Stegostoma tigrinum: one gene and its partner. The protein of the gene in region 1 interacts with the protein of each later gene in a biochemical or structural test. Links are inferred from orthologs where the notes say so. Each region holds a gene or a part of one and is shown in the gene's direction. Other genes may lie near its edges.

Evidence for each region.
Region 2: the proteins of bmp4 (region 1) and bmpr1aa form a complex in vitro, tested with the Homo sapiens proteins (3 studies listed by BioGRID and IntAct, with this or other methods). The link is inferred for Stegostoma tigrinum from reciprocal best matches to the Homo sapiens genes BMP4 and BMPR1A.

Annotation. Positions count from the first base shown.
Region 1 is NC_081363.1:47,120,541-47,128,909, reverse strand, and holds the start of bmp4 (bone morphogenetic protein 4), read left to right. Parts: upstream 1-5,092; 5' UTR 5,093-5,321; intron 5,322-8,369.
Region 2 is NC_081390.1:5,616,629-5,623,990, forward strand, and holds the start of bmpr1aa (bone morphogenetic protein receptor, type IAa), read left to right. Parts: upstream 1-3,878; 5' UTR 3,879-4,038; intron 4,039-7,362. UniProt on the Homo sapiens protein: On ligand binding, forms a receptor complex consisting of two type II and two type I transmembrane serine/threonine kinases.

The DNA of each region.
Region 1 (8,369 bases):
ACAACTGTGTGAATTGCTGATCTTGACTTAAGAGAGTAGTTAAGCATGGTGGTGTGGGATTAGGGTCACATAAATCAGTCTGGATAAGGCAGGCAGGAATCCATTCCAGAAGGATGTTAGCTTGGTTTTTTTTACAACTATTTGGAGTTTCATGGTCACTTTTGGTACCAGCTCTTTACTTCCAGACCCTTTAATATAAAACTTAAATTCTCAAACTCCCAAGGTAGAAGTTGAATTTAAAAATGTAAAGATCAAGATCTTTAGTTCATGGCAAACTCCACACCCACAGGTATCGAAAAGAGTCCTCAGCAGCTTGTTCTATTCTTTCGTAATTGTATGCACTACTATATCATCCTATAATTTGTGCTGCTCTAATGTAAATGATACAGTTATTCAGGTCTGTATTCACAGTTGTATTTGCTCATACCAGAAATAACCCTAGGGAATCTGAGTTTCACCCCCTAAAACTTTAATATTGTTTATATAGTGTGGAGTGTGCAATACTACCCACAATTCTGAATGTTTTATATAACTTTTCATTACCACATAGTATTTCAATTTTAAAATTTAATTTAAATATACCGCATGATCAAATCTATAATTCTCTTTGCCTTTTAAATTCCTTATTAATCTTGTTTATTTCTTTTAATAAACTGTAAGCTTATTGCCCAAATACTTCACTTCTTCCAGAACACTGAGCATACTGGATACAGTCACTGTTGATTTTAAAACAAAATGTATCACTTCACACATTGATGTTGAATTGCACTTACCATCATGTCTGCATGTAGCAATTTTCACATTTTGTATCTGAAGTCTAAATTAGGTTTTTGATTCCACATAACATGCATAAGCTTCTTATGGTATAAGCTGTGGTATCTCTACCCCCGGACTGGGAGGCCCCAGATCAGGTCCTCTCTGCTCCAGATGTGCGTAATAGCATCTCTGAACAGGTTGATTAGAAAAAGAGACTACGTTTAAAACAAAAAACATGCACAAAGTACTACTCGTGTCTAAAGGTTGTCTGAAAGTGTTTCACAGCCAATGAATTACTTTGATTGTGTTCACAGTTACATCAGCAAACACAGTAGTCAATTTGTACAAAATCAACAATACAAAAAGAGGAATTCGTCTATTATGGTGGGGTTGGTTAACGCATAAATTTTGGTCAGGACATCAGGCGAACCCTTTGGTAATAGTTTAAAATAGTGTATTGATCTGAAAAGGTAGACATCTGAAAGATGAAAAGCTCTGACAATGCTGCCCTCCCTCAGCATAATGCTGAAGTGCCTGCCTATTTAATTTGTTTAAATTCATGCATTGGGAATTGAGCCTGTGAGCTTCTCCTACAGTTAAGGCTGCTGCCATTTGGTTAAACTAGTCTAATAATCTGTTTTTAACAGTCTCTAATTTTGAATTACTTTTTCATTGAGTACTTTTACTGCGGCTAATAATTGCCCCTTCACTAATAGCAAGCTAAATGAACTTGTACAGAATATTAAAGTGTTTAACTGTAAAAGGTCAGATATTATCCTTTGAAATATATGATATAGGAAGACCAAAACCGAATTCCAAAGTGAGATTAATTGAAATTAAATGTGTTTACCTCGTGATGTATTTGTGCTAATATTAGCAATTTGGCTTAATATTAATTAATTGAAATTGAGAGCAAAGCAGACCGTTATTTAGCATACCACAAGTCTTGGACAAGAGGTTGACAGTAATGGAAATTTTAAGCCGCACATCATTTTCTTTATTTATCTCACTTGTCTATCCTAACACTTCCTAAACTCACTTTATTCCTCTGGCAATAATCTAAAGCTTCCTCCCTGTGTAGCTATTCACCACATCAGCTCCCCAGTGAGTCTACCTTTGTCTTTATCCTCCAACTCTGCTCATCAATTGAATGTCTAAACATGCTTCCACTTTACAACAGCCTGCAGAATATTTGCTCATTTGTGAACAAGACTCCCTGTTCATATCCTTATCCTGGAGGAGTAAATTAACATTCTGGGCTTGACTGAAATCTGGCACACTGCTGTTGATTTTTTCCTTTCATTCGAGAAAAACTCTCTTGGTTCACATTTCATAACATCCCATACTTAGAGGTGTTGTGAAATTTCACCTAGGACTATTGCACATTTCTCTGGCTCCTTCAAAATGTCTCAAAACCAAACGTTTTACCTCTCCTTTGCTATTTACTTCCTCTAGAAAAAAGCAATCTTCTCTCACCCCTGAGCTCATTCAAATTCTCATCTATTCTTAAAATCTACTATTAGTGATAACATTGACTTTTCTATTGACTTTCTCCACAGCTGTCTCACTTATAATCCTGACAACTTCATGTTGGACGGGTCTCTATAGCCACTTCTTGTAAAGTAAATTTTAGAAACTGCAAATTTGAAATGTTACTTAGCGTGCATTAGGAGATCATATTGATGGGATAGGGTGACTTTGTGCAGCATTTTCATCAATTTTTTATGTTAATATTTTGCTGAAAGTAAAGGCCATGTATTTAATAGCACTGGCGATTAGGCCAGCCTACACTCCCATTTGGATAATCCCTGTTTTTCAACATTTGTTGCCTTAGGAGTTTCTGCTAGCATTGAGCAATTGATGTGAACAAGTGGCAAATTTGCTCTGAAAATAAGGCTAGAATTTTAATTTCATTGTGGAGTAATTGTTGACATAAGGGGTAAAAAGTAGTATGTGTTGACTCAGCAATTTGCTGTACACTGCACTACCCTGCAGTTTTTATTTTGAATTATTGTTGAAAATCAATTTAGAGAAAAGCAGTCTTCAATGACATGGTTATATTTGTCAGGACACTAAACACAGCTTTCTCTATGTCTCTGTTTACAATGTGATGAATTGCTGGCATGGTAGGACAATGAATATGACATGTACAAAGGAAAAATATACATACAATATACAATCCGTCATTCTTTGTATGGAAAGGTCTGAATTTATTTAAGAGAAAAAAATAGAAGACCAGAAATGGCCAAGTTTAGTTGAGGTCGAAGGTCCCCAGGATGTTACTGAATAGTTGAGCAGGTTTAAGGAGCTATTTATCCAACTTGCGCTGAGACACCCAGATGGCATCATGATGAAGGAGCATCAGACATTATAACAGATGGAGGCTGCTAGGAGAAGGTTACCTCCCCACTTTCATAGCTGAGGAATGACTTTTACCAAAAGAATAAAAAGCATAAATAATTTACTGAAGCTATCCACTGACTTTCTCTATGCTACTTCTGCAAGATTCTTCTGTTCTTCTGAGTCTGGAACTCTGTGTCCCTTTTCCTGTCAATTCATTCTCATAGCTCTACACTCCTGCAATTCTCTTGCTAAATCCCTCCAATATCATTAAACATCTCCTCAATGTTAGAAGCCTACTCAAAATCTAGCTAGTTAATATGCACTTTGTTACCTTACCTGATGGTCTTCTCACTCAGCACTGACTGCCCTGCGTGACTATTTTAAATCCTCCATCTAAGTATAAATTGTCACTGTAAATACAAGTATTTGGTATATTTAACCGTTTCATGTATTCAGCTCAATTACTGAACTTGCTCAGCTTCCTGATGAAAGTCCTGATGAAAGATTCTGTGCATGTTGTCACTGTTCCCACATTCCAAGGCATAAGGCAAATCCAACTCTATAGTGACATCATTTATCATTGATTAGTTGATTTCAATTCCATCATTTCAGTATCTGAAGAATGATCATGCTGTGCACAATATTTTATCACAGCTATTGATAAATCCTTATGTTAATTCAACCCCTAACTCCATACCTATATAGCTATTTTGCAAAGATGTCAACATAGCAATAATTGTTTTAGCATTGCACTTACTTTCCTAATCTACGTCTAATCTTCAGTTTTACATGCAAGTTCTGTTGTCTCAAATTTGCCACCAGCAGCCTAATTCAAATTATCTTCCTGGTACATACACCTATCACCATTTTGAACAGGATCCCACTGATTCCATTGTTATCCAAACTAAACAAAGTCATTTCCAAGTGTCCAAATAAATTGAGAAAGTATTACTCACTTGGAAGTCTAGGTCCTGGTTTCCAAACAGCTGCTCTGTAATAAACCCTCTCAAGGCTGCAGTGTAAAGGCATCGTTATTTTCGTAAGAAAGTGTCAAAAATTGCATTTATTCTCAGCGTTTGAATAATGACGTAAAACAGTTTGCAGAACATTAGCCACAAATGCTGAAGGTTCTGCCTCGATAAATGTGAAGTTCGTTTACCAAGCATTAAGGTTAAAACATTGTGTCCCTCAAAATTTTACCTTCTCGTCATGGTTTCCTCTCCTAGCTTTCCACGCATTTCTCTTTTCCTTTGGTGGCAAGAACTGACAACACCGTCTCCCTCAAGAATGACTGCGTAAACGTGGCCTAGATTTTAAAGTGAGGATGTTGGTGGAAAATTGACACCTATTTGTCTCTGCTTTGTAGGTATTTTTAATCGCACCTTAAACTGAACTCGTGTAGATATTGTGCATATTGTGGAGACAATCCTTCCAATGCAGCCTTTCCAACGTCCTACTAATCAGGGCACTTCGAAACATTGACTTTCGTCTCGTCTAAAAGCTTTTAACCTTTCGTTAGTTATTCGCTGCTAGCTGGTACTGACCAAAACTAACTTTAAAACATCGTCGTCGTGCTCTGGTTCTATACCCCACCCAACACTACGAATTAACTTTGTAACTGCATTTTCTGCTATTCCTTTTTCTTTCAAACCTATTTTCCCTTGCTCACAGGAAATTTCTGTCGCTCCGGAAGAACTCGAATACAGATATGCGTATTCTGAATAAAATGCAATGCTTCCCAAGCCACCAGTTAACGTGCTGTGCACAACAAAGTTAAGAGAAACGCCACGGGGCTAGTTTAAAGAAAACCGTGAGAGAGGAAAATGCTACTTATTATGTATATACGGTGTTCACGCGCCGTATCGCCTTCGATATGCTGCTATTAGCCACTTCTGCAGGAAGGAAGTGGAATATCATAGAGATCGCATAAGTGAGGCTTTATGAACTCGGGTTAAAATACCACAATGACGTACGTACTTTCCAACAAATTGCAGAAACTGGGCGGCCACTTTATTAGTCGGATTAATTGATAGTTCCAGTTTGGTTTCTTAAAATGGGTCGAATATGAGGGGTTGTTCAAGCGCGTCCATCTCTGGCACCTCAATCCAATCCGTTTTAGATAAATTGAATTTATTGGTTCAAAAATTCTGTCAAGTTCTACCTACAGATGCAGAGGCATTAGATACAATTATTGTGGAGTATACGGACGCGATACTTGCATGGTGAGTCATTTTTAACTCGTGCTGCTATATGTGGTAAACCTGAGATTGCTGTATTGTGCAAATGGGAAAATTACTCAATAAAAATCGGCAATAGTTATTTCACCTACACATTGGCTTCTTATACGTGTAATCTCACGTGCTCCAGTTACCAAAACTCGAGGGCGCTAATGTCAGCCCGGAGTTTCAAAATTCACTTTATAATGAACATATCCACTGGATGTATTTATCGAAATTGGCGGTATTTTGAACATTGACTGACTTATTTTCCTGTGTATAATATTTAGCTGGTTTCATTCCTTGAAAGTTCATTGCCAGTATCGAGTTAGATTTAACTGCCAATGCTAATTTATGAATAATAGTTTTGGAGAAAGACAACTTGTGTTAAAATCGTGTGTAAAACACTCGCAACGTACGTGTTTTGATTCTCTTTGTATTGAAATCGTTGCTTCGATTTTGATTAAATCAGCCGGGAGAGTGATTGAAGATTAACGAGTACGTAAGACAAAACGGATGAGTGCGGTTCAGGCCAGTTGCATTTTTATGCTGAGGTGAGATGCCTGTTTTCTCACTGTAAACCTCGGCAAACCAATTTTCACACTCTATCTGGAAGTTCAAAAGAATTACCCGACATTTAGTGATCTGTGTGAAATGTTTGTGTAATTTGCAGTGCATCGTTAATGCATTTTAGAAACATTTTCATGACGCTTTTAGTGAAAATTGGTGATGGGGTCGTTTAGTACTTATTTGGGAGTTTGTGTTTTGCTGTGAAGTTGTAGGAATGCTGTTGTGTGCGATTTAATATCGTGCATGATTGTGGGGTCTCGACACGACGATACCGGAGTTCCTAGTTTTAATATCCCATTAAATAACTTACAACCGTTTCCTTATGGGAGGTTGACGGCAATATTTGTACACGAAAATTGCCAGTGATATTTCTGTGCAGTGAAACACCGACATAAAAATGGTGTCGCCAGTTTCATGGGTGTTATGGTTGATTAAAAAAATGCGACCATAGTGATATCAATTCTGTCGCATCGATTAGCCGTTTGTTATACAGACTGAAAATGCACACGATCCTTCACTGAATGTGGCCCTGTGTAATGCACAGTGCTTCTATAACAATGCTACTTTTCAGGTGAGTGTTTCTTAGCATTTTCCGTGTTTATTATAGCATTCCCGTGGGTTCATTCTGGCGGAATGTGAAAATCGCATGCCCGGCTGAAGCACCGCAAGGCCATGTGTTAAGTTCCCTTTCATATTCGGCGCGATGCCGAATTCGGCCACTGCAGCCTGAGGCTACGAGCCCTGCAGTGATTGACAGGTGCTCAGCCTCCTCGCCCAGCGGTTTGAATGGGGTCCATGCACTGGCTCGCAGCTTGTGGGCGCTGAAAGGGCGGGGCTTGCCTGGTGATTGACAATGGAGGAGGAGCCCGGGCGACGGCTGGTGGTGGGGGCGTGGCCTAGTACTGTGATTGACAATGCGAGTGTGGGCCGGTAGGGTAACTGACAGTGTAAGAGTATGCCCAGGGGTGTTGACTGGGAACGAGGGGGCCTGTGGAGTCATTAACACTAAAGAAATGGGCCTGTAGGGTGATTGATGGTGAAAGTGTAGGTCTACAAAGGGGATAGACAGTAAAAGTAGGCTAATGGGTGATTGACAGTGGAGCAGCAGGCCTATAGATTAATTGATTGATGGTGAGGCGGTGGGCATCTCTGCTCTCTGATGAAGGGTCTCGGCCCAAAACGTCAGCGTTTGTGCTCCTGAGATGCTGCTTGGCCTGCTGTGTTCATCCAGCTTCACACTTTATCAGTGGGCATGTAGGGTTGTTGACGGTGAAAAAGTGTGACTATGAAGTCATGAAGTGCTTTGAGAGGCTGGTCATGACCCACATCAACTCCAATCTCCTGACCTGCCTTGATTCTCTGTAGTTTGGCTACTGACATAACAGGCCCACAGAGGATGACATATCCCTAGCCCTGCACTCATCTTTGTTGTCTAAATGTGCCAGGGATATCTATGGCAAACTCTTTCTTGTGGACTATAGCTCCACCTTCAACACCATTATCCCCTCCAGATTTATTTCAAAACTTAGTGATCTTGATCTCGGTTCTGCCCTCTGTAACTGGATCCTCAGTTTTCTGAACCACAGGCCGCAATCAATGAGGATAGCTAACTGAACCTCCTCCTCAATAACACTCAACACTGGAGCCCCCGAAAGGATGCGTCCTCAGCCCCCGACTGTACAGCCTGTACATCTATGACTGTGTTGCCAAATCCTGAAAGAATGCCATCTACAAGTTTGCTGACATCACCATACTAGGATGGATAGCTAACAACGATTATTCAAAATACAGAAGGGAGATAAAAGGCTTGGTGATGTGCTGCAATGAAAACAATCTGTCTCTCAATGTCAGCAAAACTAAAGGTCCAATCATTAATGTCAGAAAGAAAGGAGGAGAATACGTCTCCATCTACATCAAGGGAACTGAGGTCCAGAGAGAGTGAAGAGCATTAAATTCCTCAGTGATGATAACGGACAACCTGTCCTGGACTTTCCACATAAGTGTGACAGTCAAAGAGGCAGAATAACGACTCCTTCCTCAGGTGGCTCGAAATTTGGCATGGCCACAACATCCCTCACCAACGTCTACAGGTGCACCATTGAAAGCATAATGTCTAGGTACATAACAGCCTGTTATGGCAACTGCTCTGCCCAGGACTGTAAGAAACCACAGAAGGTCGTGTGCAAAGCCCAGAACATCACAGAAGCCAATATTCCATCCATGGACTGTGGAAAGGCAGCCATCATCATCATCATCAAAGACCCATCACACCCTGGTCATGACCTCCTACAGCCTCTTCCATCAGGCAGAAGATACAGAAGCCTGAACACAGGCATGAGCAGGTTCAGGAACAGCTTCTTTCCAGCTGTTATCAGGCTGTTGAATAGACTCTAGCCTGAAATAATGTAACCTGTATGCCTCAAAGTCTTTTTGATTTGTTCATCCTTTGTTTGCTGTGATCTACCTGTGTTGCTTATAAACAAA
Region 2 (7,362 bases), on another chromosome or scaffold:
TGGATATGCTATGTAGACAACATCTCTGTCACCATTAAGAAAGGACCAAATTAAGAGAGAGACACAAACTTATAAACAACACCCTCACTGGAATAAGATTCACCAGAGAAGAGGAGAAGAACAAACAGCTCCCATTCCTGGGCGTCATGGTCGAGCATGAGACAAATGGGGAACTGCAAATGAAAGTACACCATAAAGCCACAAAGACCAGGTACTGAACTGCAGTAGTAACCATCCCAGCACACACAAACAAAGCTGCTTGCGAACACTATTTAAAAGGACAACAACACACTACAGCAACACAGAACTATCAAGAGGAAGAAGAATACCTCCTCCAAGTGTTCAAGGGTAACAGATATCCAATGAACTGGGTCAGATGATGCCTTCAAGAACAGCAGCAGAAAGATTCTCCATACCCCAACACACTCATCACACTACCCTACATCAGGAACACGTCAGAACTCACCACAAGACTCCTATGACCGCTGGGCATCAGATTGGCACACAAACCCACATCAACCCTACAACAACGGATCACCCGAACTGAAGACCCACTCCCCGCCATGGGCAAGACGAACGTCATCTACAAAATCCCTGCAGAGACTGCAAGACACACTACATCCGTCAAACAGGAAGGAAACTAACAACAAGAGTACATGAACACCAAGTGGCTACAAAAAGACACGACCAATACTCACTCATCTCAATCCACATGGACAAGGAGAACCATGACTTTGACTGGGACAACACCAAGATCCTGGGACAGGCTAGGCAGAGACAAGCACAAGAATTCCTGGAAGCATTGCACTCCACAAACGAACGCTATTAATAAACACATTGAGCTCAACACCACATACATTCCACTATGAAGGAAACCCAGAAGTGAGGCAATCCATCTCAACAGACCCAGAGTTTAAAAACAAGGCTGGAAAACACACCGATGCTTCATCGGAAGCTGCACTGAGGATGTTACCAAGCATGGTAACAAAACGTCTGGAAATAAATAAATAAAAAACAACAAACCAGCTCGGCGAGTCAACCAACCTCATTATTAATAAAAATACAAGTCAGGATCGTAATGGGATGCTCTCCGCTTATCTAGATTGCAGTTCCAATAGAGTTTCCATATGCAGAATGCTCAACACCTACTTGGAACAAAACAACTCACTGGAAGTGTACCGCATCCACCACCTTCAACATTTACTCCCAACAATGCACAATGGTAGCAGCCATGTACCATCTACAATATGCACTCCAGTAACTTTCCAAAGCTAACCCAATAACACTTTCCAAACCTATAAACACCTACCACCTAAAAGGACAAAACAGATGAACTCCACCCTCTGCACCAAGCTCCCTTCCAAGTCATTCACCATCCTGATTTGGAACTATACTGCTGCTTCTTGTCACTGATCTTCTTCCTAATAGTACTGTTGGTGTGCCTGCACCCCAAAGACTGTAGTGACTTAACAAGGACCATACCACCCCTTCTCCAGGGCAGTTATGGATGGGCAACAAATGCTGGCCTAGCCACCAATGCCCACATCTCCTGAATGAAATGTTTTAATTTGCCAGACCAGATGTTACTCAGCCAACTGTCCTGAAATTTTAAGACTTGAATAGACTCATGAGATTTCATGCCTGTGTTTTATTTGTCACTTCTAATCCTGGAGAATAACATAGAAAATCTGTTGTATAAAGAAATAGTCCTTCAGGATCTGGATCTCATGGGTTTATTAATGCTCCAACATGTTGTGTCACCATATAAATTCATCAGAAGCTTTGTCCAACCTGCCTTCTCCCAGCACCTTTTGGATAGCTTTCATGATTCACTTCATAATCATACAATATGGTGAAATCCATTCAGCTCATCATTTCTGCCAGCTCACCAAAAGGAATCAGTCCATTTCCCTATTCCTGGTAAACAAAAATGTATTTTTGACACATTTATCCAATTCCCTTTGGAAAGTTCTATTAAATCTGCTTGTGTTTTTTTTTCAGACAGTGAATGCTATTTAATACCAAGTGGTTGTAAATAAAGCTTTTTTTGCTTCTTCCATGGTTGTATTTTTAATCAGTACTTGATAAGGTCTTGTTCCATTAAGAAATTTTCACTGGAGGGGCAGAGTGAGTGCAATCAATTTAAAAAAAAATCAATGGTTTTCTTAAGTGAATGCATAGAATGTATTGACTTCCCAAATTATACGTTGTAACCTTCAATGGGACCACAAAACAAGATTTTTAAAATAAAAAAATTCTTTAAAAAGCAAAACTTCTTAAATCTTTAAGACACAGCCTTGTCAGCAGTAAGGTGTTCAAGGCTTTTAGATGAAATGCCACCTTTTCACCAACTTCTCCCATGTTCAACTCTGACATCCTCAATCCCAGTTCAAAAACTAAAGCTTGATTACCCTCATCCCAACTCAACAAAAGGGGCTTTCACCCAGCCCTGTCAACTCAAACCCCCAAAATCTTTAGTCCAGAATCGTACAAAATCTAAGATGGGGCACACACTAGGAAAAAGCAAGACAGCACCAAGATTAAAATTTGTGGAAGATTGATACAGTAGTTTATGGCAGATAAAGATCACTTAGAAGAGGAACCATTTGGCACATTAGTAGAACAGTTGGTTATGTACAGTGAGCTGCATCATACACTTAGATTAGGAATAATTAATAGTCCATTAAGAGGCAACATCAACTTGTGCTCTGGAGTTTGTGGCAGCCTAGTGATGCAACCAACAATTAAATGTGCAAAGCCCATTCTGTGGCCACTGAAGGATGGGGATTCTAGTTACTTGAGCCTGGGAAATCTCCTTCATGAGAAAGAATCTCAGAAAAGGTCTCTTGCCTGAACCCTTCACCTCAAACTACCCATGATCTCTCACCCTCCCCACCAATATACCCCAGCCCACGTTCTGAGCTGTCTACTCCAACACCAACCCCTGCATTCTCCAACCAGATTAATTTTCTCCACCCCACAACCCCAGCAGGTTCTCTTTCCCCCCCGCCAACCCCAAACAATTTTTACTCCACAGATTTCTCTTCCACTGCCTCATGATGGGTTCACTTTGTCAATCCCCACACCACACCTGAACAGATTCTATTCCATGCTCACCTAACAAGTTTTCTTTTGCCAATTCACAACCTCAAGATCTGTTCACCACAACTGCACAAGTTCTCTTTACTCTCCACACCCCCAAAACAGGTACTTTTTTTTATTTCCATTCTACTCCCACACTGACCCAACACTTCCATCCCTCCCCACCCTGGCCGTACCTTTTCCCAACCTCCTCCCCCAATCTACTCTCCCTTCCCACTACCATCACAAAGACCCTACACGTTGCCTTCCGAAACGGCCCAAGGCCCCACCCACATACCAGCGCTACCTCCCCAACACGACTTATTGGCCTTACTTTATCCCGTCTCCCAAATTCCCCGCCCCCAACTTCCTCCCCACTCCCAGACCATACCTTTCCACCCCAATGATCCTTCAATACTCTATCTTCCTTCCCGACCGTCCATTTCTCCCTCGCAGACACACACCCAACATCTCTTCTCACCATCATCCCAGCCGCCTCGTTCATCACGTGACCGCCGGCGAGAAAACGGTCGGCGGGCTGTGACGATGGGTGCGAACCGACCTCTCCGACTACTTTCCCTCCAAACCGTCCCAACGCGCTAACTCCATCTCAGCTCCTCTTGCCCGCCAATTAACAGTCTTTCGACGCCTATTTCCGGCATATTTGGTTGTGGGTTTGGGGCGGGGCGAGGTAGAGGGGAGAAGGTGGATGGTGTACGTGCGTGCGCTCGATGACACTCGTGAGGAACGTGCGCGAGGTGGGGTGGTTGGAAGCGCGCGCAGCGGGAGCCTGTGAACCGGCGCGTGCCTGTGAGGGGAGCGACAGCGAGAGACAGACGGAGATTAGTAGCGCGGGTGGATTGCTATTTGGATATTTGTACACATATTACCCGAAAGGATCATTGATCGTGGCGGGTGTAGGATTTAGACCGCTTCGGGGAGGAGGCGCTACTGGGGGTGAGTGCGTGTTTCTACTTTTAGGGTACGTTTTGGAAGGTGTTTTCTTTTTGTCTGGGGTGGGGGAAGGAGTAGTCGAGAATTGTTGAAGTGGTGCCTGGTTGGGGAGGAGAGGAATGGAGCTGGTGGGGGAGCGGTGGGAGGGAGCGAACCGCCCTGTCTCCGGCCTGATGGGAATGTGGGAAGAGAGCAAGGATTTGGGACAGCTTCCAACATTGGGAATTTTCTGTACTGAGAGTCCGATAGGTGTTCGGGGGAGGGGACCCTTGAAGAAATCCTAGTTTCCGGAGGTAGTGAGCAAAATGAAGCCAAGTCTTTACTTCCAAAGAGTTTTCCAGTTTTCGATGCAACTTTGTTTTTTTTAGTTTCTTTGGAATTAATTTGTGTTTGATTTGTTGCCTGATTTTTGTTTTAATGAAGCGATCCCAGTATGTGTGGTTCGCGACAGATTTTCTTTAGTTAAATCTGTAGTTTTCACTGCGCGCGATATGGTGTGTTGTATGCGAATCATTCTAATCTTGTTTCTGTTGTGTTTAAGTTTGGAGCTGAAGCAGCTGATTTAAATTCAAATTGGCAGTGCTGTATGTGAGGGAGATTAGGACGTGTGGTCGTAAATATGTTTTATTGAACTTGCAGATCGGATGTCTCACCCACTGCAAAATGTTCGGGTAATGTTGACATGGGGCAAATGCTACTTGTGTCTGTCTTGTCATGAAAAGTGCCATTGTATTGGCCAAAATAGTTGGCGCAGGTGAGAAGTTACTAGTTTTTCTTAGAGAGTAAGTTGTGTTAGACTTGACCAGGTTGTCTGTTGACAAAAGGAATATTGGAAGTTTGTTGTGGCTTTGACTAGGATCACCATGATGAATGATGCTTTCTGTGACTATGACTAAAATATGCAACCTTTCTCCAACATTGACAGTGTGATACATTAGAGTAATGTACAATGTGTGGTTAGAACATTTGGTACGGATGCATGGTATAATTCACCAGCATTCTGTTCTATAGTGCTTTAGAAAAGTAGATTGTACAGGAATTCATCTATGGGAGAGTACATACAAATATCTGACAAGAAAATAACACACAGAAGAGCATTTGCTTTGAGCAACTCTCTTACAACCCATTGGCGATCAGAAATTGTTCCAAGGGTCTCTGATTATGAATCTGGCCTTTTGGTTGGAGAGTGGCAGATTATTTGGGTGGGGTGGGGAATGTTAGATTTAAATCCATACTTGTAGCCATAATTATTTCAATTCATCTTTTCTTTTTCAAAACCTAGAGGGCAAAATCAAAATTTCTACTGACAAAAGTAGATATTGCATCATGGTGTGTTACTTGGAATATTATGCCATTGTGAAGGACCTATGTATAGCTTGTGTGACTTAAATAGAATTATCTTTTGAATGAACAATGACCATAAACACTGAAGCCTCTGACTTGTGTGGGATATTCTGTCACAGTGTTTTGGGATAAAGTCTGCAATAATGATGATAGTTTGTTTTGTTTATGATTGAAGAAAAGAATAGTATTTCATTGAGACATGTACCAAATTTACTCTTGGCAGATAGCCTCTTAGAAAATATACAGTTCAGTATTCAAGCTTTTCCAAAATAAATCTATCCTATCTGGCAAATGTCTGCCCTAACGTGAATGTCTTTGTTCACTTGGATTACTCCCATTTGTGTGAGCTTGCAATGTATAAATAAACAGGTTTAAAAAAAGGAGTATTTTAATACATGAAAACTTATGAAAATTTTTTTCTGATGAAGGGGCTAGGCCTGAAACATCAGCTTTTGTGCTCCTAAGATGCTGCTTGTGTTCATCCAGCTCCGCACCGCTCCCCCACCAGCTTACATGTTATCTCGGATTCTCCAGCATCTGCAGTTCCCATTATCTCTAAAACTTATGATGTTTTTTTTACCTCTTGTTTAAGATTTTATTCGTTGTTCATTGTCGTCATATCCCTTCTATATTCAAAGTCCTTCCAAGTGTCAGAAATGTTAATAATACTTCCTCAAATATCTCATTGGACAATGGTATTGTCCTAGTGCAGTCTTTAGTTTGAGTTCTGGAAAATCAAAATGCTGCAGTTGTTTAAAAAAAAATCAGCACACATAGAACAGTGCATGTCAGCATCAGAAAACAAAACAAGATGAGGAAAGATACACACCCCAAACATCATGTTTGTCTTTTGACATACAAATGTAGTTAATCTGCTGTATGTTTCCCAGTATCAAATTTATGTTTTACTTGATTTCTGATCTGGTCTGTCATGTGGTGAACAGTAACCAGAGTACAATACTAGTTGGCTCCTGGTGCCTGCTGATCTGCACCCTGCTAGAGAACAAGGGAAGAATGACAGTACAGTGACTGGAGTGGGACCCTGGACATATAGCAGCCCTTGTGATTGAAATGTATCCTTTAGTTTCTGTGGATTAACCCGTGCTTATTGTTATGTTAAGACAAAGTAAACTGAGGGTTAGAAAATACTCAAAATCCGAATTTGAGAAAGTGTGATGTTATTTGAAACTGGAAGTTGAAGTCATAGCATTCAAATAGTTTTGTAAACATCATGTATTGCTATCTTGTTTATTTTAAATAAACCGTGTTAATAAACTCTGTCAATTACATTGCTTTTCTTTCATACATTGTTTGGGCCATATTTGGATCAGATGTTTGTAAATGAAAGACTTGTACTTTTATAATCCTCATTATAAGAATAACTGTTGTTTAGTAATCTTGTACCATGTGTCGTTGCTCTTAAGTTTCAAATGATTTAAAGTGAATCACAAAACTCCATTTAAAAGCATAATTTGAATTATCATTAATTTTATTGTTTCCTGATTATTTAAGTTTAATCAAAAATGCTAATTGTAATTGTAGGGACTGGCTGAGAGAGAGTATATGTGAGGGAAGTCCAAAACGTCAGCTTTTCTGCTCCTAAGATGCTGCTTGGCCTGCTGTGCTCACCCAACTCCACGCTTTGTTGTCCATAAAAACTGGAGTCCTTTGGGGCAAACTGTGGTTTAAATTCATTTTTAAAGTAGTTGCTGCAGGCCATCAGCACCCGTGTTTTACATAAAAGGATGAAACTAAGGAAACATGTATTTTAGTTTTTTTTACATGGTATGTGGACATTAGTGGCAAGGTTAGGGTTTTTTGCTCATCCCTAATTGACCTTAAACTGAATTGTTTGCTGTGCTATTTAACAGAGCAGTTAAGGGTCAACTATGTGCAATAGATCTGGAGTCACAAAGGCTAGAGCAGACAGGATTGGGAAGTATTCTGTCCTAAAGGATATTAGTGCACCAAATGGGCTTTTAC